3 linked regions of the Drosophila melanogaster genome follow. The protein of the gene in region 2 interacts with the protein of the main gene of each other region in a pairwise test. Each region holds a gene or a part of one and is shown on either strand. Other genes may lie near its edges. The genes, in order: Aef1, Kah and B-H2.

What was found.
Region 1: the proteins of Kah (region 2) and Aef1 interact in a two-hybrid assay, tested with the Drosophila melanogaster proteins (one large-scale study listed by BioGRID).
Region 3: the proteins of Kah (region 2) and B-H2 interact in a two-hybrid assay, tested with the Drosophila melanogaster proteins (one large-scale study listed by BioGRID).

Annotation. Positions count from the first base shown.
Region 1 is NT_037436.4:21,431,805-21,443,681, forward strand, and holds Aef1 (adult enhancer factor 1), read left to right. Parts: upstream 1-1,623; 5' UTR 1,624-1,897; intron 1,898-2,068; exon of another isoform or gene 2,069-2,243; intron 2,244-3,220; 5' UTR 3,221-3,415; coding exon 3,416-4,205; intron 4,206-4,268; coding exon 4,269-4,405; coding exon of another isoform or gene 4,406-4,843; 3' UTR 4,844-6,835; downstream 6,836-11,877. Other genes in the region: CG33288 (uncharacterized protein), read left to right, coding at 1-1,000, 1,062-1,189; CG5664 (uncharacterized protein), read right to left, coding at 7,115-7,927, 7,985-8,650, 8,709-9,365; Alp1 (alkaline phosphatase 1), read right to left, coding at 10,567-10,718, 10,828-11,877. UniProt on the Drosophila melanogaster protein: Transcriptional repressor that binds specifically to fat body-specific enhancers, namely the adult ADH enhancer (AAE) and the enhancer that controls yolk protein gene expression.
Region 2 is NT_037436.4:579,677-591,763, reverse strand, and holds Kah (kahuli), read left to right. Parts: upstream 1-2,489; 5' UTR 2,490-2,801; intron 2,802-6,298; 5' UTR 6,299-6,322; coding exon 6,323-6,747; intron 6,748-6,807; coding exon 6,808-7,285; intron 7,286-7,354; coding exon 7,355-7,780; 3' UTR 7,781-8,940; downstream 8,941-12,087. Other genes in the region: Ppm1, read right to left, coding at 9,143-10,201.
Region 3 is NC_004354.4:17,309,968-17,319,115, forward strand, and holds the start of B-H2 (BarH2), read left to right. Parts: upstream 1-4,613; 5' UTR 4,614-4,902; coding exon 4,903-5,944; intron 5,945-9,148. UniProt on the Drosophila melanogaster protein: B-H1 and B-H2 are regulated by members of the wg signaling pathway; wg and dpp. B-H1 and B-H2 are coexpressed and functionally required in R1 and R6 receptor cells and primary pigment cells for normal eye development.

The sequences.
Region 1 (11,877 bases), about 21 Mb from region 2:
ACGAAGGACTCAACGGACAGCAGCAAAGTGATCAACGAAATACGGTTCATAAACGACGGAGTGGATGTGACGTCCAGGGTAGAGGAACAAATGCCAGATACACCACTGGAGAGCTCCGTGGAGGATCTGGAATCAGATGGAGAGCAAAAAATGCAGCGTGGTGAGGAGCAAGTTGACAAAATTGTGACGAGCTCTGAGGAGGCGGTGTCCAAAGTCGGCGAAGACGCGATAGATGTCATGGACTCCACTCGTAACTCGATTCAAACAGCGGTAAAAAATGCAGCAAATGGAGCTCGTGATGCCATGGAAGCTGTAGGCGAGCGAATGGCTACTGGAGCTCGAGGAGCCGTGGATACCGTGGGAGGAGCAGTAGGAGCGGCGGGTAAAGGTGCCCATCGGTTGGCCAGCGATGCAATGCACGCAGTGGAACAAGTAGGAAGTAGTGCAATGCATGCAGTGGAGCAGGCGGGCAGTAATGCGGTCAAAGCAGCCTCGGAAACAAAAGATTCGATGGGCAGGGCTATGGATTCGGTGACCAGCAAGATCTCTACTGAAGTACTGGGCGCCAAGGAAAACATCTCCTCATTGTTTCAGATAAAAGCGGCGAGGGAGGCTGATCCACAGACCACGCCATGTTCCACACCTCGCGGCGAGGATGACTTGTCCTTCAAAGAGGGGGCACCAAAGACCACCACAACGTTGGGTTCCAACGAGGAGGATGAACGAACAACGGCCTCTGTAAACTCAAACCACAATTCTGCAGGACATGGCAATGGTAATGGCAACATCTTCGAGCCAAGCACTACCTTTGAAGACCCTCTAGATGCAGTGGTGGAGCGCAGTAAGAAGGCGATGCAGGATGACATTCGGGCCATGCAACTGAGGGCAAATTCCCATATTCAAGCTGTGGCCCAGCAGAAGGAGGAAGATGCTAAGGGATTCGTGAAGCAGGTGATGGACAGGCTCTCGTGCCGTAACGAAAAAGCGGTCAGGATCGAAGGTACCTTTCAGTATAGTCCTTCAGTATATACTTACCTAAATTCTGCTTACCTTCCAAATAGATGAACTGCGTCCGCCGGCTGGAAGTCACAACAAAAACACAAACAAAGTTAACAGCGAGCTGAGTTTAACCAATGGGCAGGCACATGGTGATCAGTCGCAGGCTTCGCGGGTCTGCACGATTTTATAAAACTTGCACCTGCACTTTTCTGAGCAATTGCATTTGGTCTTTAAGTACAATTTAATAAAAAATAATGCAAACGAAATTCCTATACAAAAGTTCTGCACCGGGCAGTGTGACCGTACTGTGGCGGGAGGAAAACCTCTCAAAAACGAAAGAAAACTTACATATTCCTATGTGAATGACTTCAGTGGAACTAGCTCATTTAGCATAGAGATGGCAATTCGATATTCACGAGAAGTCACATTAGAAAATGATTTTATATTAATATGGTGGGAAAAAAAATAATTATAAAGATGTGCTGGCCTAAATAAATCTGAGAATTTTCCCAAATTTGATCTCTTATACCAACTTTCCCATTGAGTTCGGGGCAGTCATCGTGATTCCTTCACACTCGTGATCAGTAACAGGTCCCCCATAGCTATCGCCCATCCCCAATTGGCACTAGTTCATTCGCGTCTATTTTGTACGCGAAACAGTAAAAAAAAGAAAAGAAATATTTGTACTATTTTTCTAACGTTTATACGCTTTTTATAAATGAAGAACCAGCCACAGATAATGCTGTGAGGACCCGATTCTGATAGGCGAGAGCAATACGCGAACACCCTCCGAAAGGCCCATATCCCCCAAAAAACCGAATCGAGTGCGAAAAATGATGTAAAACGGGGGAAATCTAAACCTGAAAGGCCCCACACAGCACAGCCACAAAATGGAAAGGTAGGTCAATGTGTGGGCGCCCGAAAAGAGTTCAAGTGTGTCACTCAGTATACCCAATTCCGTCTGGAATCATTTGGCAAAAATAGCGTTTATAGACGTGTGAAAAACAATGGACATTTTCGAGCGGAGAGCTCCAAAATTAAAAGTATCCTAACCTCAAAAGAGCTTTTACACAGTACGTGTACGTGTGTGCGCTAGTGATGTCCATACGTGTGTGCGACTGAAAGTGGTTGTGACTTTTAGCTGAAGAAGGGAGCGCGAGGGGCGATCTAGAGGCAACGTGTTAGTGGAAAAACTGCTTTTGAAAAAAGGGGAAAATATCCCCCAAAAAGCCCGCCCAAAAAAGGTCAGTTCGGAATCCTGTCGATCTCGCCTCCGTTGAGATTGTTATCCAATTGGTAAAGTTATCACTAAGTTCTTAAGTTGCCAGAAAAACACATGTAATTTGGCGAGAAAGTAACACGCTGTCAATTCAACACAAAAAGAGAGATACCTGAGTGCTCCATGTGTGTGCGTGTTGTGTTGGCCTCAGTGTCTATCTTGTCTGGTGGGTGAGCAGGGGGCGGGTCAGGTAACTTGTCCGGCGAACGTAAAAACCAGCGTTCAAAAAATATATTAAAAGTTACATGCATGCAAGCAGCGCGCGTTTTATTTTGTTTCAAAATGCATAATCAATCGTATGTTTAATAATTTATGCTCTTTGACGTATATTCGAAGTTTTCATACCATCGAAGTCATAAAAATCTTTTAAGGATTCGGTCATCCGTTATGGATCTTATTTAAAAATTACTCATCACAGTTTGTTTGTGAGTTTAATATTAGTATGGCTCTTTAATAAATGTTATAAAGCCCGAAAATATTTACTCTCGCAAGAATATTGCTTTGAACGCTTAATACGTTAATCATTATACCTGAATGATTTAAAACATAGTTTCACACCGTAAAGTAAGCCAGTTACCTCCTTACAAACATGTATGGATATGTAAGCCGTGTAGTTCCAAATACTTATTTATGTAGAGAGGCTTGCCTAAAGGAGACGAAGGAGTAATATGCTAGTTAGGACACAAAATGGGCTTCAATGCGTTTCACTAATAAGGGCACACAAAGAACCATAGGAACCATATGGAAAGGGGGCTTCAAGGGGAGGAAGTGGAGCTGGAGCCGGGAGCCCAGCTATCAAAGTGTGTCAGCTATTGAATAATTTAGATTTATAATTTCGCAGTTAGGTATTTCGTATGTTTTGGGAATTCCTCACATATTTTTGCATACCAAAAAGCCAAGCCGCCGACTCAACTAATCCCAATCTCCCTTCTCCAAACACAGGCACTAGCAGCAACAACATCAGAGAAGCGCCCAAGATGAGCATGTCGTGGCATTTTTGAAGCATCGATCTTAGTTTGTTAGCCAGCTTTCTGTTCAAGTCACCGAGGTACCGCAGTCTCCCTCCACTATTCCACCAGATTCAAATCCAGCTTCGAATCCCGAATCCAGACTACCTAATCCCAGCAAGAGCAGTCCATGATGCATATCAAAAGCCTGCCCCATGCCCATGCCGCTGCTACGGCGATGAGCAGTAACTGCGACATTGTCATAGTGGCCGCCCAGCCCCAAACCACCATAGCAAACAATAATAACAATGAGACGGTCACCCAGGCCACGCATCCGGCTCACATGGCGGCGGTTCAACAGCAGCAGCAACAACAACAGCAACAGCAGCAGCAACATCATCAGCAGCAGCAACAGCAGTCGAGCGGACCACCCTCTGTGCCGCCGCCACCCACGGAACTCCCCTTGCCCTTCCAGATGCACTTAAGCGGGATCTCGGCGGAGGCGCATAGTGCCGCCCAAGCAGCGGCTATGGCAGCTGCCCAAGCTGCAGCAGCCCAAGCTGCTGCGGCGGAACAACAGCAACCGCCGCCACCAACTTCACATCTGACGCACCTGACCACGCATAGTCCGACAACGATCCACAGTGAGCATTACCTGGCCAATGGACATAGCGAGCATCCCGGAGAGGGCAACGCTGCCGTTGGCGTAGGGGGAGCTGTCCGCGAGCCGGAGAAACCTTTCCACTGCACCGTCTGCGATCGTCGCTTTCGACAGCTAAGCACACTGACCAACCATGTAAAGATCCATACTGGCGAGAAGCCCTACAAATGCAACGTTTGTGATAAGACCTTCCGTCAATCGTCGACGCTGACGAACCATCTGAAGATCCATACGGGCGAGAAGCCTTATAACTGCAACTTTTGTCCCAAGCATTTTCGACAACTGAGCACGCTGGCCAACCATGTGAAGATCCACACGGGTGAGTGATGAAGTGTGCTACCATACAATTTTGACCGAAACTGATTTGTGTCTTATTCTTTAGGTGAAAAGCCTTTTGAGTGTGTCATCTGCAAGAAGCAGTTCCGACAGTCCAGCACGCTCAACAACCACATAAAAATACACGTCATGGACAAAGTCTACGTTCCTGTTAAGATCAAAACAGAGGAGGATGAGGGGTGACTAGGACGAATGCCGTTGGCGGCGCACCACCATCAGCAGCAGCAACACCAGCACCACCATCAACAGCAGCAGCATCAGCACCACCCGCCGCCTCCGTCCCAGCAGCAGCAGCAGCATATCGATCAGCGTGGAGTCACCATAACCACGTTGCCCTCCGCCACGACAGTGGCCCAACATCACCAGCAGCATCAGCACATTCAGGATGGCTCGCCGCACCATCATTTTAATGTGGCCGCTCTAGGGGACTTATCCAGCGCTATGCAATTGGGCGCTGTGACGGCGGACGGGAGCTTTGTGACCATGGGCGGTGTTGTGGTGGGTCGCATCCAGCACACACGAGAGGAACTGCAGCAGCTTGGAGTGATCAAGGTGGAGTCACCATCGAATGGTGGCACAGCCACGACGTCAGCGACGGCGGAAACGCAACGCGAGGGATGAGTCGATGAGCTGCTCCTCGAGTACATGCTCAAGGAGGAGAATGCGGATGAAGAGGATGAACAGGAGCATGAGTCGGAAGTGGATGCGGATGTAGTGGAAATTCAGGAGCAGAAAGAGGAGCAGCGATCGAGCCAGAAGTGAGCCATGTTTGGTGTGTACGCTTACGTTGTTGTTAGTTGTTTAATTGTAGCGAACATTGTTGTTGTTGTTAAGGTTTAAATGTGTGACTAAGAACTTACCAAGATGATTGTATAGCAAACGCTTCAAAAGTAGGTAAACGAAAGGCGCCGACACCAGCACCCAGAGCTCCCAAAAAAATAACACAAACCGTAAACAAAAACAGAAACAAAAATACTAAAATAATAGTAAAGCTAAACTAAAAACCAGATGAAAGACCTTTGCAGAGAGTTGTCTCTATAGCAGCGCACCCCATCTCACATTCACAACCCTCTCAGCCCCGGAAATAGATTAAACCCCTCTCTACTCACTTATAAAATAACCTAACCCTAACTAGAGTGAAAATAGTTTGCTAATAGCAAGAGCAAACTAAACCCAAAAGGCAAAAAGCATTACGTGTACGAAGAACTTAATTAAAATATTTCCCAAAGTGCAACCCGTTTCAGATTGTAAATTGTTGACCCGACTCACTTTTAAGTTGTTTAATTTAGCATTTAAAGCTTAAGAAAAATTGTTGTACAACTCAAAGTTGGTGACGTTTTTCGCCATCTTGCAAGGGCGTGTTTTAGTCTGGGCTAACACAAATACAATTTGTTTATAAAATCAATAGCTTAATTATTTAACTTCGTAAACTTGTCAGCAAAACTTAAAAAAATATCCTGAACAGAAAACGGCAAAGAAAAATATTCTAATAGTGTTAAGTGGTCGAAACTATCTAATTAGCTCTTAGTCCCTAGAGAGCCATAGTTTTTAAATCAGCGTTTTGTTAATTTTAATTGATTAGTCTTAGTAGTTTTAATTTCAGCATTGGCATAATTTGGAAACACAAAAGCTGTCACGCTAGCCTTCGTTTAAATATTAGTTAATGAAGTAAACACAAAGTAACGCTAATTAATTCATAACTAATTACGATTATGAGATAGTAAAGCAACAAGTTCTGTACAAAGCCCAACTCCAATTTGTATGTATAAAGCGAAAGCGAAAGAGTTTAACTAAATTGTAAACGAAAACCTTTTTAAAAGAGAAAATAATATTTTCTAAAAATACAACATGTGACTTTTTATGTTAGCCCTTTAATTTATGTATGTTACCCTTGGTTTCCTCACATCCCGACTGTCCTTTGTTTCAAACGCCGGTCGCCTTTAAATACCTTTAAAAACTGCAGCAAGGGTCAAACCGAAAAGACTCCTGTATCAAGTTCCTATAGAATTCAAAGCGCAACAAACACGGATGTCCCCAAATGTATACGAATCAATTGCAAGCCGGGAAGTGGAGACACATTCAAAGAAACCTAGCCTATATGGAATGAATATTAAATAAATGTTGATAAATGTGTAGTGTTAAACAAATTAAAGACAAGACAGCAGAAACAAAAAACCGAAATCCCAACCTAGTAGAGCAATGATAAGAGCAACGCTTGAATCCGTGCTATGTTTTTCAAGGCCCTGAATGCAGATCCTCGCCAGGATCTAAGATCCCTAGAGAATTTGAAAGGTCGCTCTAAAATGAATGCTTAATATTTGATGCAGATCGGATTCTGCTCTTTGTAACATCTGAGCTCTGCACCCAGCTTTTCTAACCCTCCCCAGCGTATGCATATACTTAATATAAAAATGACGTAGTGAGATTAGCATTTAAGCGCCTACTTTAATGATAGTTGAGTGTGTAAAATGTAAACTGCAAAGAATTTAGACATACAATGAACAAAGACAAGACACGTTAGGCAAATCGAGATGGCAGAAGGATGAGGAACTGCAAAAAAACCAACAAGCAAAAGGCTTAAAAACAAATCGCGATAATATTATGTAATTATACACATATATATTTATTAATGTATGTATGTACATGCGCAGTAGCTGTATTTATATGTAAATGTGTACGTAATTGTGTATTTAGTTACAGCATAAATATATATTTGCAATGGAGAAATACAGAAACGGAATTTATGACAAACGGTAACGAATCAAATGCATTCTTATTTGAAACCATTTAGATAAATACTAATTAACGGGCTTAAAATAATTAAGTTTGAACTTTCGGTATGAAATTCCTTAAATTTAATGGAGCCTTAGATATATTTTCGTATTTGGGCCCTCATATGCCTCCCAATAAGGAGGAAGACGCAGAGTCTACTGGAGACATGGACTCTTCATAGCTCAGAAAGTTGTTCAGATAGGTTAACCAGTCCGACACATCGACCTCCTTGTAAACTTCGTTTTGAAGGAGTTGTCGCAAAACTCTCATTTGTCTCACATCCTCGCCATAGCGCACACACATCTTGGCCATATTGATACTGGCCACCGGCAGGTTCACCTTTTCCCGACCTGTAATTACTTTGGTGCTCATGCGCTCCTTCCAGGTGTGTACCTCCTCCTCCAACGCATCGAGCCTGAACACCTTCGGCGCCTCGCGCACAACTCTTCCCACAGGACTGATCCTCGCAGTCAACGGCTGCACGAGCTCCTTACTCATTAGGTACTTCCAAAAGCCTCCAAGATTTAACCACTTGTCATAGTCTTTTAAGGCGCTAAGGAGTAATGCTAGGTAATCCTCACGCGACAACTGCTCGTCATCGTCATCCTCAATCTCACTTTTAAGATTGTACTTTACCCATTGACGCGCTCTAAATTCTCCGACCACCTTTTCCGGTCCAAAATGAGTTTTTTTGGGAAAGAAAAAGAGCTTCAAAAAGTGGTCTGTGAACTCGAAGCGGAGATATGGGGGGTCCAACTGCCGAATAGCCATTAGGTAGGTGCGAACCTTTTTGCGATTGTGCGATTTAAAAATCTTGAAGAAGTCTTCGATGAGCAGATGGGTTTGGGGTCCCATACTAGGATATATCACAGCATTATCCTCGTACTTTAGCTCTGCCGTGTTGCTTACTTCGACAATTAGGGAAACAAGGCGCTAATAGTACTGAAAGAGTTACATAAAGCATACAACCCAAAAACATTACAAACCTACCTGGAGAATCCTCTGGCGTTCTGGGTACATGGACTTGGCCACTACCTGTCCATACAGACTCATAATTTGTTTAACGATGTCGCTGAGACGCGTTCCTGCTGACATTTCAAATACGATCGAGGCAAATGACCTGGAGTTTTCCTGAAACAGCTCCGACTCCGACTGCCTCAACCTGTTATGATCCAGCCAGGAGAGGAACTCTATTTCCAGTACACATGTGAGCATGTTCAGGACATCGCAGAGCCGTGCCAAGCGGACTGCGGGCGACATTCTCTTGAAGTCGTCCAGACAAAGCTTCCCACTCTGCCAGTCATACTGCTGTACATGTCGCAGAAAGACCGTTTCCTGGGACATATTCGCATCCTCCTCTTCCGAGAAGTTAAACACAAACTTTTCATAGAATTTGGTGTTTTCACGTATCTCTTCATCGCTGCAATGCGTTAGATTTTCCTCAAAAAGATCGATGTAAAACTGCAACTTCTGGGTAGAATTGGTTGAACGTGTTTCTCGCAAGGGGGGATGCGAGACGCCCAGAAAACTCAAGTAGTAAGGACGCAGGGCTGTCCAGCACGGGGGAAAGGCGTCGACCAAAAGAAAAAAGGTGCGTATAAGTTTGTTGTAGATGTCGCCAAGCTCCTTTACGCTTATCTCTTTGGCAATTAGGATCTGCATAAGGAATTCATGATATTATTACAATGTGACACCAGAGAAATAAGCAATCAACCATGGCCATATCTATTAGTCTGTCAAAGACTCCTTCGCCTGGGTAGACACCCTGCAACACCATCATCTCCAGAATGTCCAGGAATGTATCGTAGTGCTGGCCGTGCAACGTGGTTCGTAGCGCCTGAACGGCCGCAAAGTTTGGGCCATCCGGAAGCGCGGAGCACCGATGTCTTTGCGTGCACAGACTAGTATTGTAAAGACACCTGGAAACACAAGCTCCCGGAAGACGATCCTCGCTCTTCATGTACAGATTTGAGATCAATATACGCAGGTTAAACTTCCAGTTCAGTTTCTTGAGAGTATGATTCAGCGGAGCAGGATATTCGTTGGTCCTCTTGAGGCATGCCTTCCTAGCGAAAACCTCCCCCGGGGCCGCCTGAGGTTTGGTTCCTGACTCTAATATCGATTTACCATCTAATTTGGAATCTGATTTATTACTTGCTTTGGAATCTGATTTGTTAGGATCAGGTTCGGCAGCTGATCTGACAGAGACCATTTCCACGTCCGACTCCTGAGGCAGATGAAAAGGAATCGTCTTGTTGAACTCTAAATTAGTGTCTAAGACAATTTCTGCGACGTCCGCTGTTGAATTTATGGTATTTACGCTGTCTGAGTTCATTGCGAAATTCAATAATTCTTCGCCGTTGGAACCCATTGCAATTCCTTCGGTTACTAACTGATCTTCAGGTTCTTTGGTTTCAGGATTCTTTTCAACCTCTAGACCAGGACTAACGTTATGGCGTTAATTGTGGTGGACATCAGAGCGCGTAACAATTATTTACGCTAGAATATCAAAAGTATTAAAAACACAATTTGTGTTTTTTTTTGCCGGGGATATTTTTAAGTGTGACCGCTGACAGACCGCCCAAATATACGGTAAAACGATAGAACAATCGATACTAATGGGCTCAACGGCTTTTTAACTTATGCGATAATATCGAAATTATGGAAATAACCAAAATTCAAACTCTCTATTAAATTTTCTCTATTCAAATTTTCAATTAAAATGGTGTGTCCTATACGTCCAGTCCAGTCTTATTACTTGTGATTAAGCTCCTTCTTCAGTTCCGTCGCCGGCTTAAAAGGCTTTGTCGAACCAAGGGCTTGATCTCAACGTTGGACATTGAGGGCTTTCTTTCTTGTTTGAACAACCGACAATGCGTCCAATTTCAGCGTAGGTTTTACCTTCAGAGATCATGTTTTTAATCAAATTTCTTTTTTCGACGGTACAATGCTTTATGCGACCCATGACTTGAGAATTTTGGGCCTTCGTTTGGAAAAAATTCAATTAAAACCTTCAATTCAATTCCTTTTTATAAAATGTGTGGAAAAAAAAACCCAAAGCAATCACTTCTATTAATATTATTCAGCAAATACGTGGTCAGTGCTATGTTTGTTACCGCCTAATTTCGCGCACTTTTGCAGCAAGTGCCCAAAAACAAAAAGAACCGTTACGTTGAGAGAGTAAAAATTTATTGCTCAGAGAGACCACATATGGTACTTATTATTCATGCAATCTGACTTAAAAAAAAAACATTTAATAATTTTTTTTTAGGAAATCAACTTTCCACCTGCAGTAGTGCTATTATTTTAACCGCAGCTCTATATCGGTTAAGTTTTCATTATTTGGGGGTCTATCAATTGACATCAGGGAGATGATTTTGTAATGTAATTTGTCTGTTTTTTAATTAATAATTTTGGGAAGTGCTGTTGCTTCTTTGCTTATTCTCTTTATTCAGGAACTATATAAGCTAAAAAGTTAAGATTAAATATGGCGATTCTAGAATCTCCGCAATTTGTTTTAAGAATAGATCATTTTATTCAATTTCTAAACATATTTATTCCTAGGGGATTTTCTAGGGAGAGTATCTTGCTTTTGGCTGCAGATCGCAATATGTAATTCCAGGTCCTAAGCAAGAGGCGAAGCCCATCAAATGAGGCAAGGTGCTTTGTTCGTAAACTCCAGTGAAAAGATGAGACCATGGACCTTGAAGAAGATATTCCACAACTTTATACATTTCAAGAGTTTTGATTAAATGCTTGGATTTAAGATTATATATATCATTCAAAACCCATCTAAAAAAAAAAACTTAAAAACCAAAAAAACATGAACTCACCATGAGCATAGACGGCCACATCGCCACCGCCGTGTGTCTCCTCGGTCATGGGCACTCCATGTGGATAGATGGCATCCGGTTTGGAAAAGTCCAGGTTACGGAGATCAACGCGCTCCACCACTCCGTCCGTCGATTTGTAGAATCTCTCGTAGGCCGGGCCGTTGGCATATGAGATGGACGTGTAGGGCAGCTGGTCCACATTACTTAGCTCGGAATTGAGTCCTACTATGCTGTTGTTAACATCCGGATAGCCGCTGATCGTGACCGTGTGTCCGTGATCCGCACTCACCACAATTAAGGTGTCCCAGGGATTGGTGAGTTGTCGTGCCTTTCTCACTGCGTCCGAAAACTGAACGGTTTCATCCAAGGCCTTCTTGGCCTTGGTCTCATGATGGGCGTGATCGATTCGACCGCCTTCCACGAAAAGGAAATACCCGTTTGGATCTCGGGAAAGCACATTTATGGCCGCTGCCGTCATCTCGGGTAGCGTGGGTGTGTCTATGCTGTCGTCCATGTGGTACGCCAAGTGAGAGGCATTGAAGAGCCCCAGCAGGAAGTCAGTGTTCTGCGCATCATTGTTCAGGAGATCCGTACGACTAAACACCACCCTAGCATTACCCGGCTTTGTTTGTTGCCATTCCTCAATGAGGTTCCTATTATCCAACCGCTGGCCCTTGTTTCCGAACACATCGTTCGTGGTATTGGGCAAGAATTTAATGGTTCCACCGCCCATGACCACACGCAGTCGCTTGCCCACATCTCCGTCTATCAATTGCTGGGCGATATCCGGACAGTTTCCTGGATTTTGACCCAATTTGGTCACGTCGTAGTCGCTCTCGAAATCGCGATTCGAAGTGTGCGCATAAACTCCGGCCGGACTGGCGTGGGTAACCCGAGTGGTGGTCACCAATCCAGCGGATTTGCTACCTTTAAGCGCCCAGGCGGCAATCGAGGAGAGCCTATTCTGCGGCAAGCGCGATCCCCTGCAGTCGTTCAACTCCACATCGGCTGTCACTCCGATGGTCAGATAGTTCGCCTTGATCCCCGACA
Region 2 (12,087 bases):
TTCAATTCAGACGATATACCCAATACGTACAGAAGTGCACCACCACGTAGCCCTCTGCCTTTTACCTACGCAGAGAATGAGATCCCAACCACCCGATCTTGGCGGCAGCAGTTAAAAATAAAGATCCAGGGGCACTTAATAAGCGGTCATGCACTGCGGGAAATCGGATGCTTGATGCTTGAAATCACGTAGATACTAAGAAGAGGTCAAGTTCAGGCTATAATTATGAAGTTTGGATTATTGTCTCATTTCCCATGACCAGTTTACTGAGTATTCTCTCAGTGTGTGGAGTTGTAGAAGGAGTTGCAGTATGGAAGATTGGATCCCGCAATTGCGCAGCAAGTGAGAAAAGCGTACCGATCCCCGACGGTCTGGGATCTGGAGGGGCTTCCAGGGATGGGGAAGCGCTGAAGGCTGGAACCAGGACGAAAATAGATTTATGGCCGCCAGTCACGACGTCTTCGGCGGTTTTCCAGAATCGCACGCTCCGGGTGAGGCCATGGTGTATGGGTATGCTAGGGGTGTACTATGAACCGCGCTGATCCACAGCAATTTGCTGGGCCGCCAGTTGGGGACACTTCCTTTGTGGGACTTCCTTTCTTGTCTTATTAATTGCCGTGATTAAAGTCGACGCAAAATGTCTTTAGCACATGTCACGCTGGCAGAAGAAGGCCTTTCCCGTGTCCAAAGCTCCGCGATGACGGTGATGCATGGCTATGGCCCAGCCTGACCTTACCACTCAAATTGCATTTCCATGTTGGCGCCAGACAAAGCCCACCCCTTCTTCCCCTTCCTTCCCTTCCTCTTAGCTTTTCCATTCGCCACCAAGCGATTTCCTTTGTCTTCGTCGCGTGGGCAGCAAGTTGTAGAGTGTGAAAATGCCACAAGAAGTGCGAAAAGTGCGATCGGGAAATAAAGTCGCGGACAGGGAGCCACTAAACACATTTGTTGGCCACAAGGGGTGGCCTTATAAATAAACCCATTACAATCCCCGCCCAACTGTAAAGATCTTTTGTGAAACATCAAAATCCAATTCAAACCAGAACCATAAACAGAAACAGACACAGAAACCGCCGCTCGGCATAAATCATATCGAATATATAGAAAATACGTTAGCACCCAATACATCTGAAGACCCCAACCGAAAAAAAAAACACCCAAAGGGGCGACATTAAGTTCATTACGCCTGAAAAGTCGAAAATGAAAAGTGGAGGAAACGAGAGAAAACGGCAACACCTGCGAGAAATCCGTTGGATTTCTAAGGCCAACGGAGGTGGGGAATCTGCAGAGTGCACACTTTTGGGGGCGGAATGGAATGGGGTGGAGAGGTTCAGGTGAGCGAGTCTATTTTGGATGCCCGCAACAAGTACGCAGGCGAGGAAAATGCCAAATTGCATACGACTGCGTCACTCTTCGCGAAGAGCACCCATTCCCATCCCCATCAGCCAACAGCAGGAGAAGAATCCGAGCAGCAAGAAGAGTGGGAGAAGACGGGTAGCCGGCTCGGCTACCGAAGAAACTGCCCAACCACGAAGCGAGAGTAGTGCCTCTCTCTTTCTAGGCAAATCAGCATGGGGCAGGCGAAAACACACTGACACATGGGGCAAATTCCCACAGTCGAGGTCACCGAAATATCACTAGCTAGACTAGAGGTACAGCTATCAGTCTATCGAATTGATAATCTTCTCGACATACAAAATTAAAACAGACTATATATTGATTCTACAAGGGGAAGTAGGCAACTAATATATAAAACATTTATCTTAACATGTGAGACTACATCCTTATATAGCTCAAGTAATTAATTTCATCAGTTTACAACAAATACCACAAATACAAAAAAAAAAGACCTATTACAACAACCCTGTCTGTTCTTCAGCGAGTGTGTAAGGTTTTTGACACTGACTGCGGATCGTTAGAAGAATTCTGCGCAGTGGTCCTGCCAGCAGGAGCGCCTCGTCACCTCGGGCACAGTTTTCCCTTTCGGAAAATGCAATGGAAAGCCATGGCAGAGAGGGCTGCGCAGAGAAAGGGTAGCGCAATGAAAACATTATTGTTATTTTTAAACCGCGCACACTTGTTCCGTCGCTGTTGCGTCGTGGTTCGTTCTCGAAGTCATGTTCGATCCGATGCCGATGCCGATGTCGATCCGTACCGTTCCGATCCTCGGCAAGAGCGACCAACAGCTGCTGGCTCTGCGTCAGCTTCGTCACCTCCTCGACGTGGATGCGGATGTACACGGAGCGAAACGGGGGGTCCCATGCCAGAAATAAATCCGAATGGAAATAGCTAAATGGAAATAACAGAAACTGCAATACTAATACAGTTGGGGTGCATAATACAGAAGTGTAAGGCTATTTTTCTCAGTGTACGAAAATGTAGGAGAGGATGGGAGACCGAGACCGCGAGGTGGACGCCGCCGGAGGCAGAAGAATCGCCGCGGCGGCAGCGGTCGCAAGATGTAAAAACTGTAAGTGGTCTGGCGAAGAACGCTCAGTTCTTCCTGGGATCTCGCTGCGTTCGCTCGCCTTCACGGATGCGCAATCCGTCCGTGCGACTAATAAATCCGTTTGACACTTATCGAGATTCAGTGCGATCCCCAAAATCAGCATCACCAATCACCCATCACCCATCACCCGTTGCCATCGCGGACTCTTGGCGGGTGATGAGATTCGTGGAATTTGCGCTCCGTGTGTGATAAAGCATTGACTTCCCATCGGCAACTGAATCATCCGTCTATATTCGAGGCGGAGCGACGACGGCAGTGGATTGTTTTCCGTCAACTATTCGAACTGCGTGGGGTGAGTTGGCGAAATGTGAACGGAAGGTGGTGGAAAGTGAACTTCGCTCTTCAAATTTGCACCTTTACCGCCTTTCGATTACACAATAGAACACACACCTCGCTCGTGCATAACTATCTGCCCAGGAACCGAAACAAGATCGAAAATCTGCTTGGCAAATTGGGCCAACAGATTCGCGTGACTGCAAATGAGCGGCGTTTTCCGATCCCCATTGCACACCCCCCAAAACCCCCCCCTTCACTCCACCCAACCAACGGACAGAACGGGCCGCACTTGTTAAATTAATATTATTATTTCTTTTGATATTTTGACATTTACGTGAGCAATGTTTGCATTGGCAATGAGCTTCTGCGAACGGGAAATAGTGACCGGGACGTACGAGTATAGTATAGTTGGTATCTTTCCGCATGACTATATGCATTGGTATGGGTATGGCCATTGTCTCGCGGTGGTAGATGCGTAGATCCTCCGTCCAATTTGGGCGCATAAAGCGGATAAACAACAGATCATACAGTGCATACATATGAACCTGATTAATGCGGCGGTTCGGGGATAATTAACCGCCGTGATTTACAGGTGAAGCCCGCTCCTTTGTGTCCTTTCCCGTCCAAATGTTTATGCCGCGGGTCCGTAAACAAACCGCCGGCAACGGGAACTGCAGTTGAGGCAACGATTGATGAGGGCCTGCGATCTGGGGTAAACAAAAACTGATGCCCAAATCCGACATATCCACTGAGGCGCAGTGGGTGGGGGTGGTGTGCCTACTGTATGGCATACACGCTGTCTATCCATGGTGCATGGCATTGACTCTGGACTGGGAAGCAGCCAGAGGTTGAGGCTGGCGCTCTGGATTTTTGTTTATTGTGCACTCGTATTTAGCCTGAACTAAAATGTAAACTATGCTGGGATCACTGCCCCTTCCCCCTGCCCCTGCCGCTTGGGATCAGGCATCAGGTATTTATAGACGCCTGGCAGCGAGGGGAAGACGCATGTTAAGGCCACCGAAGCCACCTCTGTTGGCCATCGCCATTCTCTTGGCCTCTGTGTACATTAACAGGACTTTGAACTCTTCCCCGGTCCAGCAATACGGACACGGTCTACTCGGGCGAACTGTACGGCCGGAGATCGGAGATGGGAGATGGGAGACCGGAGGGCGGAGACCACGCAATTTGCGCAGATCTGCGGCGGCATGAAAAGGAAAATGGCAGGCGGAGAGTAAAATAATTCACCCGGTCCGTGGTCCATTGTTCGGTGCACATGGAACGACCAAGTTGCGGATGGGGGAGCAGAAATGAGTCATCCAACTGGGGGGACTCTAAGCTGCTTAAGTACACTGTGGGAAAACTGTTGCTCAAAAAATATGTAAATTATAACATATATGAGTTACTCACACCAAAAACAGTAGTCATGGAAAACTCCAAATATATATTTCAACTATTTCTGTTCTGCTCCTTCGATCGGATCGACTGACTCCTCGTTTAAGAAGTTCCTTGCGTTTTCCATTCGAGTCCGATGCAAATGTACATCGTCGATCCCTACCCACCTTCTTCCTGTCATCTGCGATTACCGACCGATCTGCAATCGCACGGGGCCGAGGAATAATTAATTAACGACCTGTCAGAGAAACATGCGACATTTCGTATGCCCCAAGCGACTCTGACATCGGAAATATGGCACAGACATATTTCATTTGGTGGTGTAGGGGGAGTGGGGTTCTGTGGCTCTATGGGATCCATAGAGGAGCTCCGCCGATCACTTGTCAGCTGCTTTCCCCGGCGAATTCTCAGACGCATATTGTTCTTCAGAGACTCGAGCATTTCGTGTTCGATGGAAATCGGGTATTGAAAATGACGCGATTAGTTGGAAAATGGCATACATTCGGGTGCTAGCTACATATATTTAAATGTATACGGCAACCACCTGGGAACAGGGCCTCAGGTGGTGGGGCACATAAATAAATGGGCCGCAAATTGCCAAGACACAAATTATGGACGTCTGGCGGCTTTCGCTCACACCCACTCAAAAAGGGGAAGAGGCGCGAAGGTATTTCCTTCCATGGAAAACCACTTTCGCACACCTCCGGCCACCTTGGCAGCGATCATTCCGCTTAATTGCCGCAGAAACATTTTGATGTACTGCTCCCCGAGGAGAAGCCGATGGGAATTGGCAGCTAAGCGGGCGCAACAGGTTGCCGAATTCGTTGGCGGGGGCGGATGGCAGCTGTTTAGCTAGGTTGATTCAGGGGGAATTTTCACCCACATTTTCCTCGATACCGAAAAAGAAACACACATCACGCGGCTGGCCTCAGGCGAAACACAGAGAGTGTTAGAGAAACAAACAAAACCGAAAGCAAGAGCAATTTCAAAACCAAAACACCGCAGAGTATTGCACATGACCTCCTCAAGAGTGGAAGAACGCCACTGTTTCATCGATTCTTCCAAATTTCTCAATGGGTTCGATTATTCAGAAAATCTTTTGGGGGCAGAAAAATTAAGGCGAAAACTTTCACATGATAAACAAACGATTGAGTGGGAGAGAGGTATATACATATATACATAAATGGCGCCGCTTTGAAAGAAATACAATAATATTTTGAAGAACATTACAAAATGAAGGCATTTATATTTCAAGACTGGCTTCTTTGTGAGCATCCCGGTGGGCATGGTACAGTGAACTCCAACATATAATAGACCCAAGCCCACCTGACTTTCGGATGCGCCAATTACGAGCGAGATTAATCAATGCCAAAAGAACATGTACAAATTAAGCGCACTCATTTCGACATAAATTTATTTGACCACGCAAAGAGGCGAAGATGGCGAACACCGGCACAAAATCGGCACCACCGAGCCGCAAAACAGCCAACAAGTGCCAGAATCAGAATCAGAATGCAATATGCAATATGCAATATGCAACATGCGGTATGCGGTATGCAATGACGTTAATCATACGCCCCGTGGGCTCTGCTAACCCTCAACCATGTGCGATAATTCCTATTCGGCAATGATGATGATGCAGACGACTTTGGCTCACATCTCAGACTACGAGTGTGTGGCCTCTCGACTCTGTCCTTAATTATAAATTGATGCATTTTCAAATAAACAAACACGAATTATGGCGTAAGCACAAGGAGGGAAAGATCTATGATAGGTGGGATGATAGATGGCGGCGATCGCACCATGGATGTGCGATCCGCTGGGGGTTTCTTATGCCGAATAATTCGATTATTGGTCTATTTTTAGTGCACTTTCTCAAGCTATAATGAACCACTAATTAGGAGAATGTGAGTTTAATTAATGAGCATATCGTTGATATAAGTCTTTTACACCATCGTCCGGAAAAGGTGAAGATTTTCAACTCAGCACTGACTAGTAGTGGCTAATGTAGTGGCTGATATGTGTTAGCTAGGTAATGACGCATCACGTGCGCATTTAGCAGGAAATATTTCGGGTATAGTCATGCTGTTTTCATCATAGAAAATACCCGATGCTTTGCAGGCATTTCACCAGCTCTTCAACACGATGACGAAGGACCAGCAGGCGACACCCATTCCCGAGGAGTTGTACAATCTCACCCAGCTGGCCGAGGTTACTCTGTCCGTTGGTCCTCTGGTCACGGACGAGGTGAAGCCACTGCCACTGTACGCCTCCTCGGACGACGACTCCAACTACTACAGCCACAAGGTCTTCGATCGCAGGAAACTGCGTCGTTGCACAATCTCCGACTCGAATTCCTGCGCCAGCAGCAGTTCCAGTTCCACCTCCAGCCGTCAATCCTCGGAGGACCACCTGGGACTCCAGGGGCACTCATCGGTGCACCACCATCATGGGGAGCAGGGCGAAATCCTCAACAGCACTTCGTTGCTGGAGGACGAGCACATCTGTCCCGAGTGCGGAAAGAAATACTCCACATCCTCCAACCTAGCACGTCATAGACAAACGCACAGGTGAGCTAAAGTTTTGTACATTTTTCTGGTGAAGTATTGCTAAGTCTATGTTCTTTAAAGATCAATCATGGATAAGAAAGCGCGTCACTGTCCTTATTGCGAGAAGGTGTACGTTTCGATGCCCGCCTACTCGATGCATGTGCGCACCCACAATCAGGGATGCGAGTGTCAGTTCTGCGGCAAGCGCTTCTCAAGGCCCTGGCTCCTCCAGGGCCACATCCGCACCCACACAGGCGAAAAGCCCTTCAAGTGCGGCGTCTGCGAGAAGGCGTTCGCCGACAAGAGCAACCTGCGCGCCCACATCCAGACCCACTCGAACACCAAGCCACACACATGTGCGCGATGCGGCAAGGCCTTCGCTCTCAAGTCCTACCTGTACAAGCACGAGGAGTCATCGTGCATGAAGAATCGAGGAGGCGTTCCGGGATCGGGAGCAGCATCCGGCAACCGACCTCCCTCGTCGCCAAAAAGGCAACAGGCGGAGGTAACAAGCGGCACCATCTCGGCATTGGCTCCTGGATCACCTGCCGCGGCAGTGGTGAGTTCCTTAAATCGATATGACATCTCTTCACTTGAATAACCTTCTGATTTACGGTGGTGATTTCAGTGTGCTGCCTCCGATTCAGCCAAGTCTACGCTGGCCAACAAGCTGTTGCAGAAGGAAAAGGATCGCAGGCAGGCGGCCATGGCCTTCCAGGGCTTTCCGGCTGGGCCAGAAGTGACGGCTTACAGCCACGCAACTTCGGCCCAGGAGGAATATGAGAAGTTCAAGCGGATCAACGTGATTCAGCCGAAAGTGATGCCGCATAGGGTACCCAGCCTGTACCAGGACCTGCTCCCCAATCGCCACGTGCCACTGGCCCTGCCTTTGGCGATGCCGTATCACTTTCAGGGCCAGGCCACGTCCACGGGCCAATCGGATCCCACCTCCGTGCAGGAGCAGCCCGTTGACTTTTCGCCCAAGAACAACTTCACGCACTCGGCCAAGACGAGTCCCTTCGAGCTGACCGGGAATTACGCCATGGTGGCATAGGATCTTACCAGCCAGGATACCACGCAAAAGACACCGGAGAGAGCAAAGCAGAGCACTACCCCAAGGCCATTCGAGGAGACCGTTACTGAAATGCCACTTAATCCAAGTCCTTTCACAGCCCACCAGCCACCACCAATCCAGGACATTTTCTTACTGTAGTCAACGAATATGTGATAATAATGCAAAAGAGCTAAAGTACCATTAGAGAGTAGATGATTCCAGAGCAAAGAGGAGCACGCACAGCTCGTCGAACAGAAGAGTTCCCTCTTCTCGGAAAACTCCAAGGAAGGCGAGGTCATACACAGTAGATATAGAGAGACAAGGTTGGATCGATTCCCGATTGATCGTTTGATCTTCACTTAGTTGTAATAAGAGACTTCTTAGAGACTTGCCAAGAACAGCGACAAAAAACCAATGTAACCAGTATTTTTTTATAGCACATACGATTACCGATCGATCGGAGAGCGAAAGATATAGCATCCCAGCCCCAGACGATCGAACTCCGCAGCCAAGCTACAAACTTTACACATAGTCATCTAGCTTTATGATTTTACAAGAAGCATAGGAATATCCAAAGATATCCACCCCACTTACTAACCCCATTAATCACTTCGCATTAAGGCATTGATCGGCTTCCTGCTTCCGGCACGGAAGTCGTTCCAAAACGAGAGAATTTCTAGTCTTTATATTTAAATAAAGCGCACATTTGGCGAGATCGGGAGCATTCCCGATCCCATCCCCTTTTGTGCGTGGCGTTACTTTAAGCACTTTATGGCCGCATGTGGTGCAATAATTGACATATATGTATGGCTAATTAGCGCCTGGCACTTAACCATATTGCAATCTGTATACTTCTACTAGCACGATTCGGAGCAATCGGCCTTCTCATTGTGGCCTTACCATCTAGTATCGATCGATAGACAGATACTCACTGCATTTCGATTCGACTCGATTCACTCCGATTCGATCTACAGCTCTACAGCTAATCGCACCAAAGATACTTCGATTTAGATGCGCACGCATACTACCTTTATTTACTCGTACTTACCATATACACCAAAAGATATATACACGTATACGTAGCTATAAAATGTACTATAGATTTGCACATTAACTCGAATTAAACAAGAGATCCGATCCATTGATCCCCGAGAAAATACAAAACGAAGTGTTCTTATTTCCCTGCTAGTTGGGGGAAAGTGTAGTGTATTGTGTTATATTTGTACTGCCGGGAAATGTGATGTGTTGACTGATAATTTTGTAGTGCCAACAGCGTCTGGATCGACAATCAAAGTACAAAAGTACATTAAGAGTAAGAGCAAACAAATGCAGTAATGAAAAATGTAAAAGGTAAAACAAAAGTTAAAGATTAGCCTCGGGAGTTTCGCTTTCGCGAAGTCCGAAGCCCAGGCCCAATCGAGAAGTCGACGACCCCGAAGATCCCTGAGAACAGGGAGTTACGACCTTCACCGACTGATCCTGGATGTCGCCTACGGTTTCAACGGGGGTCTTTCGTTTGCCTCCGCAGCGCACCGCCAGATCCTCGTAGCTCTTGTTGTGCAGCAGGCACACCAGGATGACGGTCATGTTGTCGCCGCCCACATTGCCCGTGTGGCCATCCGGAGACAAGCAGCTGTTCATCAGTTCCTCGCAAATGAGTTCCGGCTCCATGCCATCGCGTATGCGCTTGTGCACGAACTGGCAGACTTCGAAGTTGCTCATCACATCCCAGATCCCGTCGCAGGCCAGCAGGACAAACTCCAAGTCTTCGGTGATGTCAAGAACCTCCACGTCGGGATAGGCCGTCACGATTTGCTCTTCTGGAGTCTTTAGTAAGTTCTTCTTGTAGATAAAGTCGCCGAGGGCGCGGGAAAGGGCCAGATTGCCATTGACCCGATTAAACTCCACCCAACCACCGCTGGCCATGATCCGTTTGGACTCCTTCGCGTCATTCGGCTTGTGGTCGACGGACAGGGCGTGAACCATTCCAGAAATGCAGGCGATGGCCCGCGAATCGCCCGCATTGGCACAGTACAGGCGACGCTCCCTAATGAGCACCACAATGGCAGTGCAGCCGGCCGTTTGCTCATCAAGGGAGCCATTTTGCAGCATCTCCCGATCGAAGTCGAGGAAGGCCTTTTTCAAGGCCACCTCAATGCTATTGTCCCGATACTCCGGCCGCTTCGTAATGAACTTGTGCAAATGCTTACCAGCGTACTTGGCCACTGAAGCTCCACCGTGTCCGTCGTAAACGGCGAAGAAGGCCGCCTGCGGGTCATCCGGCAGGGAAAGAATGTGGGTGTGGGCGTCCTCCATATCCACGCGCCATCCTTGCATGCATGATGAGCCCACGCGATAGCTTGCATTGGCACAGCAAGCGGTGTCCTTGGTGGTCACTGGTTCCGACAGTGTCTGTCCCATTGTGAACTTGAGGAAGGAGTAAGCCATTATTGACGATGATAATGCACCAGGTATTCACCTGTTTGTCCTTCTGGCGGTCAACTTATATTCGGAATTCTGTTGGGTTATGGTCCTTTTACAGGTACGCACGCCTCTTAGCTACTATAGAAAAATAGTATATTCAGTCTCTGATAGCCCAAATGGGGTTTTTGAATTTAGACGACTGACTCGGTAGCCTACTTCGACTTGATTAATCGAAACGATTAGGATTGCCATGCAACTCGGATTACTAATATCCGCCAAACGTTTCCCACGTAATAATAAGAGAAAGGATTTTCTTTATGTTGTTGATAATTTTGGTTTTGTATTTGTTATTTGTTGTCGTTTTTTGTTTCTTTTTATTTTTTCCTTGTATTTGTTTTATAATTTGGTTTACTTTGTTAGCGTTTGTTTTCATATACACAAATACATTTAAGTATATAATGATACACGCATATTGCGCACATTAAATCTTGTTCGTTTCATATATAGACATTTATTTTTAATTGTTTTTTTGTGGCTGTAGATTACTACACGTGTATCCTTTTAGGCATATGTACGAGAGTATGTAATTACCATAATTTATATGCATCTGCATCTTTGTGTAGGTGTATCTGCATTTGTTTCGGTATCTGTATCTGCACTTCGCCTTGTGTGATTTTCAAGTTTCTTAATTAATCCGTTTTGTATATATTCTCTTTAAAGTGTAAAGACACTAAATTTCACAATGTTCGATTTCATTCCCTCCATGGGATGCAGAGGACACTCCCACTCCCCAAAATTTCCGAAGATGGGATTGGGAGCGGTATTCCAAGCCAGAACTAGCCGAAAATCATTTGGGGGAACTAAAGTTAATTTGTCGTGTGACGTATGTTTGTGTCTGAGTATGTAAATAAGTTACGCAAATTTTTGGGCTTAATTTATATCGTGTATGTATATAATTCTATATCGATATAGTCGTATTATAAAATCTCTAAACAGCCATAAAAGTCAAAAGTTCTTATTCATATCTATTAATTATCTAGACGCGTTTACACTGCCACTAAGTTGACGTAACTTGAGTTAATCCTTATTATTACCATTATAGTAATCTGTACCTCTTGTATTTCTTGCTTAATTGCCGCCTAACTCTTCTGAAATCGGAACTCGATTGTTATAGGTATTATCTGTTGATTAGGGAGGGAACTCTATACATAAATACAAACGTCGCGGCTCATTGTTTCGTTTAGTTTGATTGGTTTTGGATTTGGGTTTGCTTTGCTATGCTTTGGTTTGGTCTCGAGACTTTTAATTCAATTCATTCACTATGACTACGATTATTTGTATTTGATAAATTAGCTGGCCTCCTAATATCTTGGGGGCCCTCAAAAAGGTACGCATATCAGAATAAGACAGAGAGATACACTTATTAATTGGAGTGTGTATATTTTGATTTGCATCTAACACTAGTATCGATAGCTTATCAAGTACAATGCTAAATGTATCGGTGTGCTTGGTTTTTGATATAAGTTTGAATTTCATTTCCGTTTCTTTCGATTTCGATTTTCTTAAGCCTAAATAAGAGAGGACACCAAGTAAAAACATTCAGTACACGTTCATTGAAATACTATTAGGATACAAAAAGAGTGATTAAGTACGATTAGAGTTTTTGTGGTTGAGTGTTTTGTTGAATACTTGGATGCTGTAATGGTGAGATTGTAATGAGGTGTTGTTGAGTTCAAATTCAACTTTAAGTTATATGTTGGTGAAACATTCATTAAGGTGCTGTTTTGATGAAACATTTTGAGGTGTCTGTGTGTTGGTGAGTTGACTTTGACTAAATGAAGGTGCAAGGTCAAATCTCTTCGTTGATGATCGAAAACATTCAT
Region 3 (9,148 bases), on a different chromosome or scaffold from region 2:
ATTATTAAATATAAATGCAACGAGAATAACAAAACATGTTCCCGAGGATGACTGATGAAAAGAGCCGCGGTGGCTGCTTTTTTAACTTATATTTATTTATTTTTTTTTTTTATTTGCCGTGTGTTTTAAATGCGGACGCGACATTGCGTGATGAACAAACGTCGAGCATTTCTCTCAATGGGATCAACGAAATGGTTCCATGGCGAAGGGGATCCCACCGAAAGCCGAAAACTGAAAACCGAAATGAAATGACATGACGTGTTGTTATTAAGCCGCATAATCAAAACAAAAAACAGGAGAGAACGCTATAGGCGAGTTCCTCGACTACCAGATACCTATTACTCAGGACCGCGGACACAGCGTTCATACGAACAGACGAACAGGCTGATGGACACACGAACATGGCGAGATTAACTCAGCTAGTGATCCTGATCAAAAATATATATATAGTCTTTATAGGGTGGGAAACGCTTTCTAGTACGTGTTACATTCTTCTCAACCAAATAGTATACCCTTGCACTCTACAAGTAACGGGTATAACAAAGCCCGAACTTTTATGAATGAGCAAAGAGTTTTGGCCTGGCTGGCCTACTAGAGTCGATTCAGGAATTTAAGGGCCTAAAGGCCACTCCCTCGACCGGGAAGAACAGTGGTAAAATCTTGGGATTCCAAACACACAGCTCCTTAAAATTGTTTCCAATTCACTTAACAAATTTTAATTACTCTCCACTGATTTTATTTTAGCCACAAGTATTTATTTACATACATTATTATTGTTGGAACACATCTTAATCTAATCTAATTATAATGTTATCTTTTAATATTCATAAATCATTGGGCATTTGCCACAAAGTCTAACGTTCTATGTTCTTGAAGCACTACATATTCGATCTAATCAAAAATCCATATCTTATAGATAGCTTTCATAATGATCACCCAATCAAAGTAGATCCTTACCACTGTACATCTCGGTAAGACCCCTTTGAACCAATGTCGGCAGCATCAAGGCGATTAGCGAAAAGCGGTAAATGTTGTGTTAAACCTCAATTAAGATCCAACGGGGAGAATGGGGATTGGGATGGGGCTATGGGTATCTGGATATCTGTATATCTCGCGAGGCGGGAGCCGAGAAGTCGGGGGATCTCAACCAGGTAGACAGGGTACGCCAACAGGATGTTAAACTCTTGCGGGCAATTTGAATTCGCTTTGACTGACGCCACACGCCAGGGTCAGCTCAGCGGATTTACGATCCGAATACGAATCCGCATCCGAACTGCTAAATGATCTCACACAGGCGACGACGAATGGCGCCTAGAAGGTACATATATGTATCGTGTGTGTGTGTGTGTGTGTACCTTTCTGTATGGCCCTGCTTGAAATTCCCCCTTACTTTGGACCCCTGTTAAGTGCTTTTTAATTTGTTTGCATTCGAAATCCGAATTCCCTGTGTTCCGCTTTTATCGGGAATCAAGTGAGCTGAGTGCAATTACGACACCTTCAAAAAGCCAACGGCCCAGGATGCGAAAGGGCGGCGGGAACGGAGGATACTCATCCTCAAGGCACTTAAGCGCATCCCCGGGGGGGTTGTTCCACCCACTTTTCAGCCACTTTTCACCGCTTTCCACCCGCCATCGCAATCTGTGGGTGGTGAGTGGCACTGGCTAATTAAAATTACTTTCCAGCGCGACACTCGGAAATTTACTAGCGCGTTGGACGGGGGAGGAGGAGGAAAAGCGGAGGTGGGGGCCACGTTAATGGTCAGCTGGTCAGTTTGCAGCCACTCTTAATGAGCGTCCCCAGTCATTTGCTTGGGAACGAGACCTTCTCGCATCGCCAACTGCGTATTTGTCATTTTTAATGTCTTTTTAAACCACGCGAAAGCTGAACCACTCTTGCCCCGTAACGGTCTCTTCGACTATCCTATCCGAACTGGGCTTTCACCGATGATAGGATTCTGAAAGTTGGTACTCGGTGTTAAATAGCCCAATGGTTGAGAATACCTTTGGTTTTGGTAAGATCTGTAGTGATGATGTGTTTGATTTTTTACCAGGAGGAAGATATTTAATGGTGTTATCGTTCTGAACATGGGTACTAGTGATTTGGTATTCATAATCTCGAGTATTTTGTGGTTCCGTTCATGTGTGTTGAGATTTTCACGCACTTCTTTTCAATCCAATTTTCATTCCAATATTCTTACTTGGATATTATGAACCTTAAAAAACGCGCATACAATTTCTGGTCAAGCCAAAAAGTCACAACTTCCTCCCATCAGTTAGAGTATATTGCTGTCGTACTTCAACTTTGGCCATTTACACCGAGTTCATCTTTAATTAACTTATTTCGCTGCTGTGTATTATATTTCGCTTTGTACCCGCTGAACGAGCGCCAAGTGCCGTTAGTTAGACCCCGACAAAATGGCGGACGCAGCTGGAAAATGAAAATACGTCGAATATCCGTGGGATTTTTGGTGATTGCGAGTGCGGGAGAGTGGCGAAAGTCAAGTTGCCTCATTAGCAGGCAAAGGGAATGCTGAAAGATAAATTATTGTCACATTTTTACGGAAACCTCATTAATGGAATGGTGGTGTTTCGACATCGAGAGCGAGAGAGCAGTGACAGATGGGGAAGTTACTTTTAGATGGATAGGCTTGGGGGAATTCCAATTAAAATTAGAACACGTGCAGTAAGTGCCAAATTTTACTCAATTTCTTAGGATTTCCGGTGCTTATCCCTTTCAGTACCACTTACGTTATAAATATATATTTTTTTGAATAAATGTAAACATTGTATTAAATTGGTCTGACCTTAGTTTTATTTATTGATAATTAAGAAAACAATTATCAATAAGTAAATTACATAAAAAAAATGATAAGTTTATGTTCATATCTATTAATGCTATAATTTATATTACAGGAAAATCAATCTCATGGTTTATTCAGAGGCAATACAAACTGTACCCAATGATCCCGGTCACGTCTTCGTTTTCCTGCTCCAGCCCGATCGTTTGTCAGGTCGTAAATGCTTGGGATATATCTATGATTACGATACTCTATTCCTGGAAACGTTTGGCGACAGGAACTCGGATACATACCAATGGCCAGTAATACCCGACAATTGCTGCCGTGAGGCCATTTTGAAAAGCTAACTATACAATAAACATGTGGCAGCGGGAGCATCCGCCTCCAGGCGCCAAAGACTGCCTCCTCGAGTAGCTCCTGCCCACCGGAGCACGCTTGTTAGTCCACAGGAATGAGGTGGTAGGAACCCCCAGTGGTATACAGCCCCCTCTTGGATAGCCACCCCCCCCCTGAGACCCATTCACTTGCACATTAGGCAGCAAATTGACATCGATACAAGAAGTAAACCAGAAGTGAGTGGAAAGAGAGGGCACTATCGCGTGCGACAGAGAGGAAAGCGTGCAGCATTTAACTGCTGCCAATTTACTGTTTAAATGCCAAACAAAAAGTGTTAACAAGCGCAAAAATAACAAAAGACACCAACAACAAAGTACGCAGAGCGAGAGGGCCCGAGGCGAGCCACAGGCGGCCAGCCCTTGGGCCAAAGCGAGACAGACAGATGTCGTGCCGGCTGCCTCTCGCTCGCACAAACCAGTTTAAGGGGGCGTGGCCTGGCCACAAAACAGGGTTGACAGCATCCCATCCATCCATCTTGCCATCCGGATATCTGTCCATCAGATACAACAGCAAAAGCAACATTAGAAGCAAAAGCAAAGGCGGCAGCTGCCCTGCTGCCATAATCGTGTTGAGTTTCAAGCTGCCATAAAAAGTTTATGGGAAGTCGTATTGAACAGGGAAACCTTCTAAAACAGTATGATTTTGCTACTGCTGGAGGCATATTGCATAAATGTTCTGTCATTCCTGTACAAACTATATTTAGTTGGAAAGTTAGATAACAAGTTATTAGTATATTAAAGATGCATGGCTACATATTTTTTAATAATACTCGCTATTATAATAAAAGTTTACCATTAACACTGTTCAAATTTTGTTTGAAAGCAGCTAAAATAATATGAAATAACCAACTGACCCCTAAGACTATATTTAACCCTCAAAGATAACGAACACGTTTTTGTTCAGATTTATAGAAATCAAATAAGTACAAATAACTTTTTATATAAATTGACAAGACTTAATAAACCCTATTTATTTAAGGATATGAAGTTAATTGCAATACTTTTTGTGCGGTTGTAGTTCGAAACAGCCAACTCCACCACGTGCCATAAAAATAACCGTTAGACGTGCGGCCATTGCCGGCGGAAAGTCACCACACCCGCCAACTTGAGTCCCGCTGATTGAAGCCTAATGAATGTCAATTGCTGCCAATTACGACCAATAAGTGCGGGCAATAAATGTGGGCAGCCGTGGGTGCGAGCGAGAGGCAGTCGCGGGGCGACAGAGAGGGAAACTCACCACACCGCCACTTGGCCAGGTCAATGAGCGAAAAAGAGACGACGACAGGTGGCAGCTGATGGGAAGCGGTGGCTCAACTGGTTTTTGCTGCCTTCTTGTTGTTGCTGCTGTTGCCGCTGCTGCTGTTGTTGCTGCTGCTGCTGCCAGTTGCTGTTGCTGGCAGCAAGTTTCAGTTTCGGTCGAAAGCCAAAGGCGAGCGGTTGTTGCTCCGCTATTGAACATCACAAAGTGTGCGCACCTCAGCGACATTTGCGTTAAAAACCCAGTTGGGCCAAGAAAACATTAACCAACGCAAGAGCAATCGAAAGCGGAGTTCAAGAACTTGTCAAGTTTAAGAAATAAGTGCGAGCAGCTACCAACAATTAACTGAAGAAGTGCTAAAAACTCGCGTCACCCATACATACATACATAGCTGTTTGTTTTTTTTCGGTGCAAAGTGCAGGTGCAGCAGCGGAGTCGTCGGCTAACCACACATGACCACAATGCCACCGGAAATGTCCGCAACAACGGCAGCTCCCGTTGGCAGTGCACCGAGTGCCACCGCTCATCATCCCGCTGCCGTCGGCGGCGGTATGCCGCGTCCAGCTTCCCCGGCCGTCGGCAGCAACACGACGACAGCCACGGCCACAACGGCGACGCGATCCCGCTTTATGATCACCGATATTTTGGCAGGAGCCGCGGCCGCATCGGCGGCGGCAGCAGCAGCGGCGGCCGCCTTGGCAGCCGCCTCTTCCGGCGGTGGGCGTGGCAGTCCGACGGACTCGGAGCGGGAGCAATCGCTGGTCGCCCAGCATCACCACCATCACCAGCAGCAGCAACAACACCATCATCACCAGCAGCAGCAGCAGCAGCAGCAACATCAGCAGGCTGCCCTGCAACAGTACATCGTGCAACAGCAGCAGTTGCTGCGCTTTGAACGGGAAAGGGAGAGGGAGCGGGAGCGGGAACACTATAGGGAGAGACATTCGCCGCCTGGCAACAATCCCTATGCCCACCACCCCATGCCGCCCCATCTGCTCGCCCACTTTCCGCCCGCCCACTACGCCGTGCTGCAGCAGCAGCAACAGCAACAGCAGCAACAGCAACATCCCCACCCGCATCATCTGCAGCTTGAGAGGGAACGATTGGAGGCACTGCATCGGCATGGCCACGGGCTGACCGGTGATCCTGCCCAGCACTTGAGCCACTTAAGCCACCTGAGCCACCAGCAGCACCATCCGCATCTGCATCATCCCATGCACGATGAGCGATCCCGGTCACCGCTGATGCTGCAACAATTGGGCGGTAACGGTGGCAATAACAACAACAATAACAACAACAGCAGCAGTGCCAGTAACAACAACAACAACAACAACAACAGTGCTAGTGCCAACAGCAACATCATCAGCGGCAACAGCAGCAGCAGCAACAACAACAATGGCAGTGGCAACGGCAACATGTTGCTCGGAGGACCCGGCAGCAGCATTAGCGGCGATCAAGCCAGCACAATCGACGACAGCGACAGCGATGATTGCGGTAAGTCGCTGATCATATATCATAAACATACAATGAATCTGTATAGCAATATGGTTTAAGCTGTATTTCAAGGATAAGGCTACATCGGGAATATATAAAGTATATATATATATATATAGCAGAAATAATTAAGTTGCTAACTAAAGGAAGAGACTAGTTCATGAGACAGACATACAGATTCAGATGGATCTTGAAGAATAGCACCAAGTGCGGAATATATGTATATGTATATAGACACTTTATTGCAATATCAAGTAATATGAGAAGAGCAAAGCGGGGATACATATAGAGAATATATATATATATATATATAGCAATATGATATTTGTGATATTTCAGGGACTGGACTGGATGGGAAAGTGAAATCTAATGAACAACTGATATTCAAAATAGCAAGAAAAAAGAAAGACAAGATATAATGCGAGATATAAATGTTTCAAAATACCAATCAAGGCTTTTTTATACGTGTTCCTGACGTACAAATTAAAAGCAATCAAAATCTAGCTAATATATATGTATTTAAGCTCTAGTAAATTTGCATAGAATATTAAAGGAAATAAAGGAAGCTAGTAATTATAGTATACAAATTGCCATTAAAACCAGTTCTATTTATAAACTTTACCAAAGTTCAGCTGTATTAGCTATTTTATTAAACGAAAAGGGCTTTTATGGCTATAGAGAATAGAAATTATTTCATAGTATGCACACCAATAAATGTTAGCTGATAAATTTGATTCGGTTGGTATTAATTTGAAACCCAAACGGTGGACTTTTGTTTATACACTGAAGGGGATCTCGAAACCAATTTACACCTATCCATCTGACCCCTGAGTTCGCACCACTTTAAATTTACGATTTTCCCCGCGACCGGGATATATCATATATTGAGTGCTAAGCGTGGTTGTTTTTCCTGTTGTCTTTGTCGTTTTTGTTGTGGCTGTTGGCTAATAGATAACGGCCAACAACAACCGCACCAACAACCACCGTAAATTGTGCGGCTCGAACGGGGAAAATGCTGGCTTGATAGGCGAAGACTCGAAAAATACAGGTGAGTTCGAGTCTGAGGCAGGTGTCTTAGGTTTTGTCTCTCACTCTCTCTTTCTTCCTCTACCTGTATATGTCTCTCTTTCTGTTTTTTCCTTTTCAATCCCCCCCCCCCCCCCTCAACTTATTGGCCAGATTAGCCAAGTGTTCGCTTATTTTCAACATATTTCCCAGTCAAAACTGTCAACAGAATACCCTTGACTGCCACGCCCCCCGCGTGCCGTCAACCTTGTTTTGCATGCAACAATCTAATTGATTTTGTTGCCTAGCTTTAGTTTTGCTTTTTTCCTCTCGTTAAGTGCTTTTAAACGATATGCAAATTATAACAAATTACTATTAAATAGCCGTAATCGTGCGTTTGCAATTGATTTGCAGTAATATAATTTAGAAAGGCCGAGAACGTGCACAAATATATATGTATGTATTTGAAAGAGCATGGAAATCAGAACAAAAGGTCAGAATGTTGAGTTTGCTACAAAAGATGTGTGTGTGTTTTTATTATAGATTTTTTACGAAATCCCAAAGGATGATAAAAATGAGTTTCCACTATTTTTGGATAACTAAAATGCCGAGTAATTTTAGTTATTTTAATAATTGCCCGGTCTCAATTCAGTTTTTTTTTTGTTAACGAGAAATTATAAGCCCCTAAGCAATTTTGTTTCAATCAAAGCTTCCCCAATTTCATGGACAATTTTCACATTTATATGTGTTTTTTGACTTGTGCCAAAATCAATTACCAAATTAAACTATAACCAAAAGCGGAGATTTCTCCCTCCAAGTGACCCCCTTCTGTTTTGACTTCCCGCTGTCATTTTTCCAAACCGAAATTGCCTTGACTTGAGCCACAAGCCAGGCCGTGCCACACACACGCAGATAAATAAAAACACAAATGAAACTGAAGAAATCAAAATCAAAATTTAATTTAATCTGCTGGCTGGGCAGCCGGACAACCCACACACAGTCTCCTCTACAAAAAAAAAAAAAACACCCATTGGCATTCTCGCTTTCTCTCTCGCTCTCTTATGAAGAACCCACGCTGAGAAAAATAAAAAAAAGAGTTATACAAGGAAGGCTATTCTCAAAATATAACATTTCGATGACGTTATTTAAAAATCAGAAAGCTTATAAAATATTAGGTTAACGGTGGACATATTATCCTCAAAAAAAAAAAAAAAAAATTTACAAAGCAGTTATTTTGTCCCAAGACTTTAGTTTAAAAATGGAATAGAAAGAAATAGCTCGATGTGCAGCGAAAGAGAGGGATATGTTAATGTACTCAGTACTCGCGTGTCACTTGAGACGCGTGCGAGCGACAGTTGTTGCTCATTCGTGCGCCTCCTCCTTCTCCTCGTCTTTGCTCACCTCTTTCTTGATCTTTCTCTTCTTTTATCCTTTTTTACCCACCTTGGCGTTTTTTACGAGGCTCAAACGACGATCCTTGCTTCGCACCGCGTTTGAAATTGACCCAAAAGCTTGTTCTCTGCCCAGCGAACCGTACACTGATCGAAAAAAGGGGGGATATCGAAAAATTATCGGTGAGTCTGGATGGTGGACGGGGTAACTCTTGCCACTTCAATGCCTCCATCGAGTGCTAAAAAAAAAAAGAAAAGACGAAAAAAGTTTCAATATTGAAATTGATATTTTCGGGCATCGTCTTTCACATATTTTGGCATTTCAGGAATGCCAGACTTTTGCTTTGGCTTCCAAGATCACGTATTCATATGCGGTGTATATGGCTCAAAACAGGGCAGACGAAGCTCATCCACTTAATCCACAAAATGTTTAATGGATATCCACGAAAAATTCACGTGCGCCACAAAAAGCGCAAAAGCGAATCAAGTTCGTTGCCCAAGTCTTTTGTTTCTATTTTGCAGTCTGCTTCGGCTTCTTTTCGGCGCTGCTTCTTATTTATATTATTTAAGTTTTGATTGATATGGCATATGCCCTTACCGACGTGTTTCATGGGTAAATAATGAGAGCTTTAACGTTTGATGGCTTGGTGAAATTAGAAAAACTGCTTTTAAGAACGAGCTATGATTATTAACGGCTTTAAGTACAAGGTTCTCATAGTTAATTGTAGAGCAGTAAAGGCTTCGTTGTTGATTTTCCAACATCATTTTCCAGCCGTTTTCCGTGAAGGAAATGTTAAATCGCAGACCC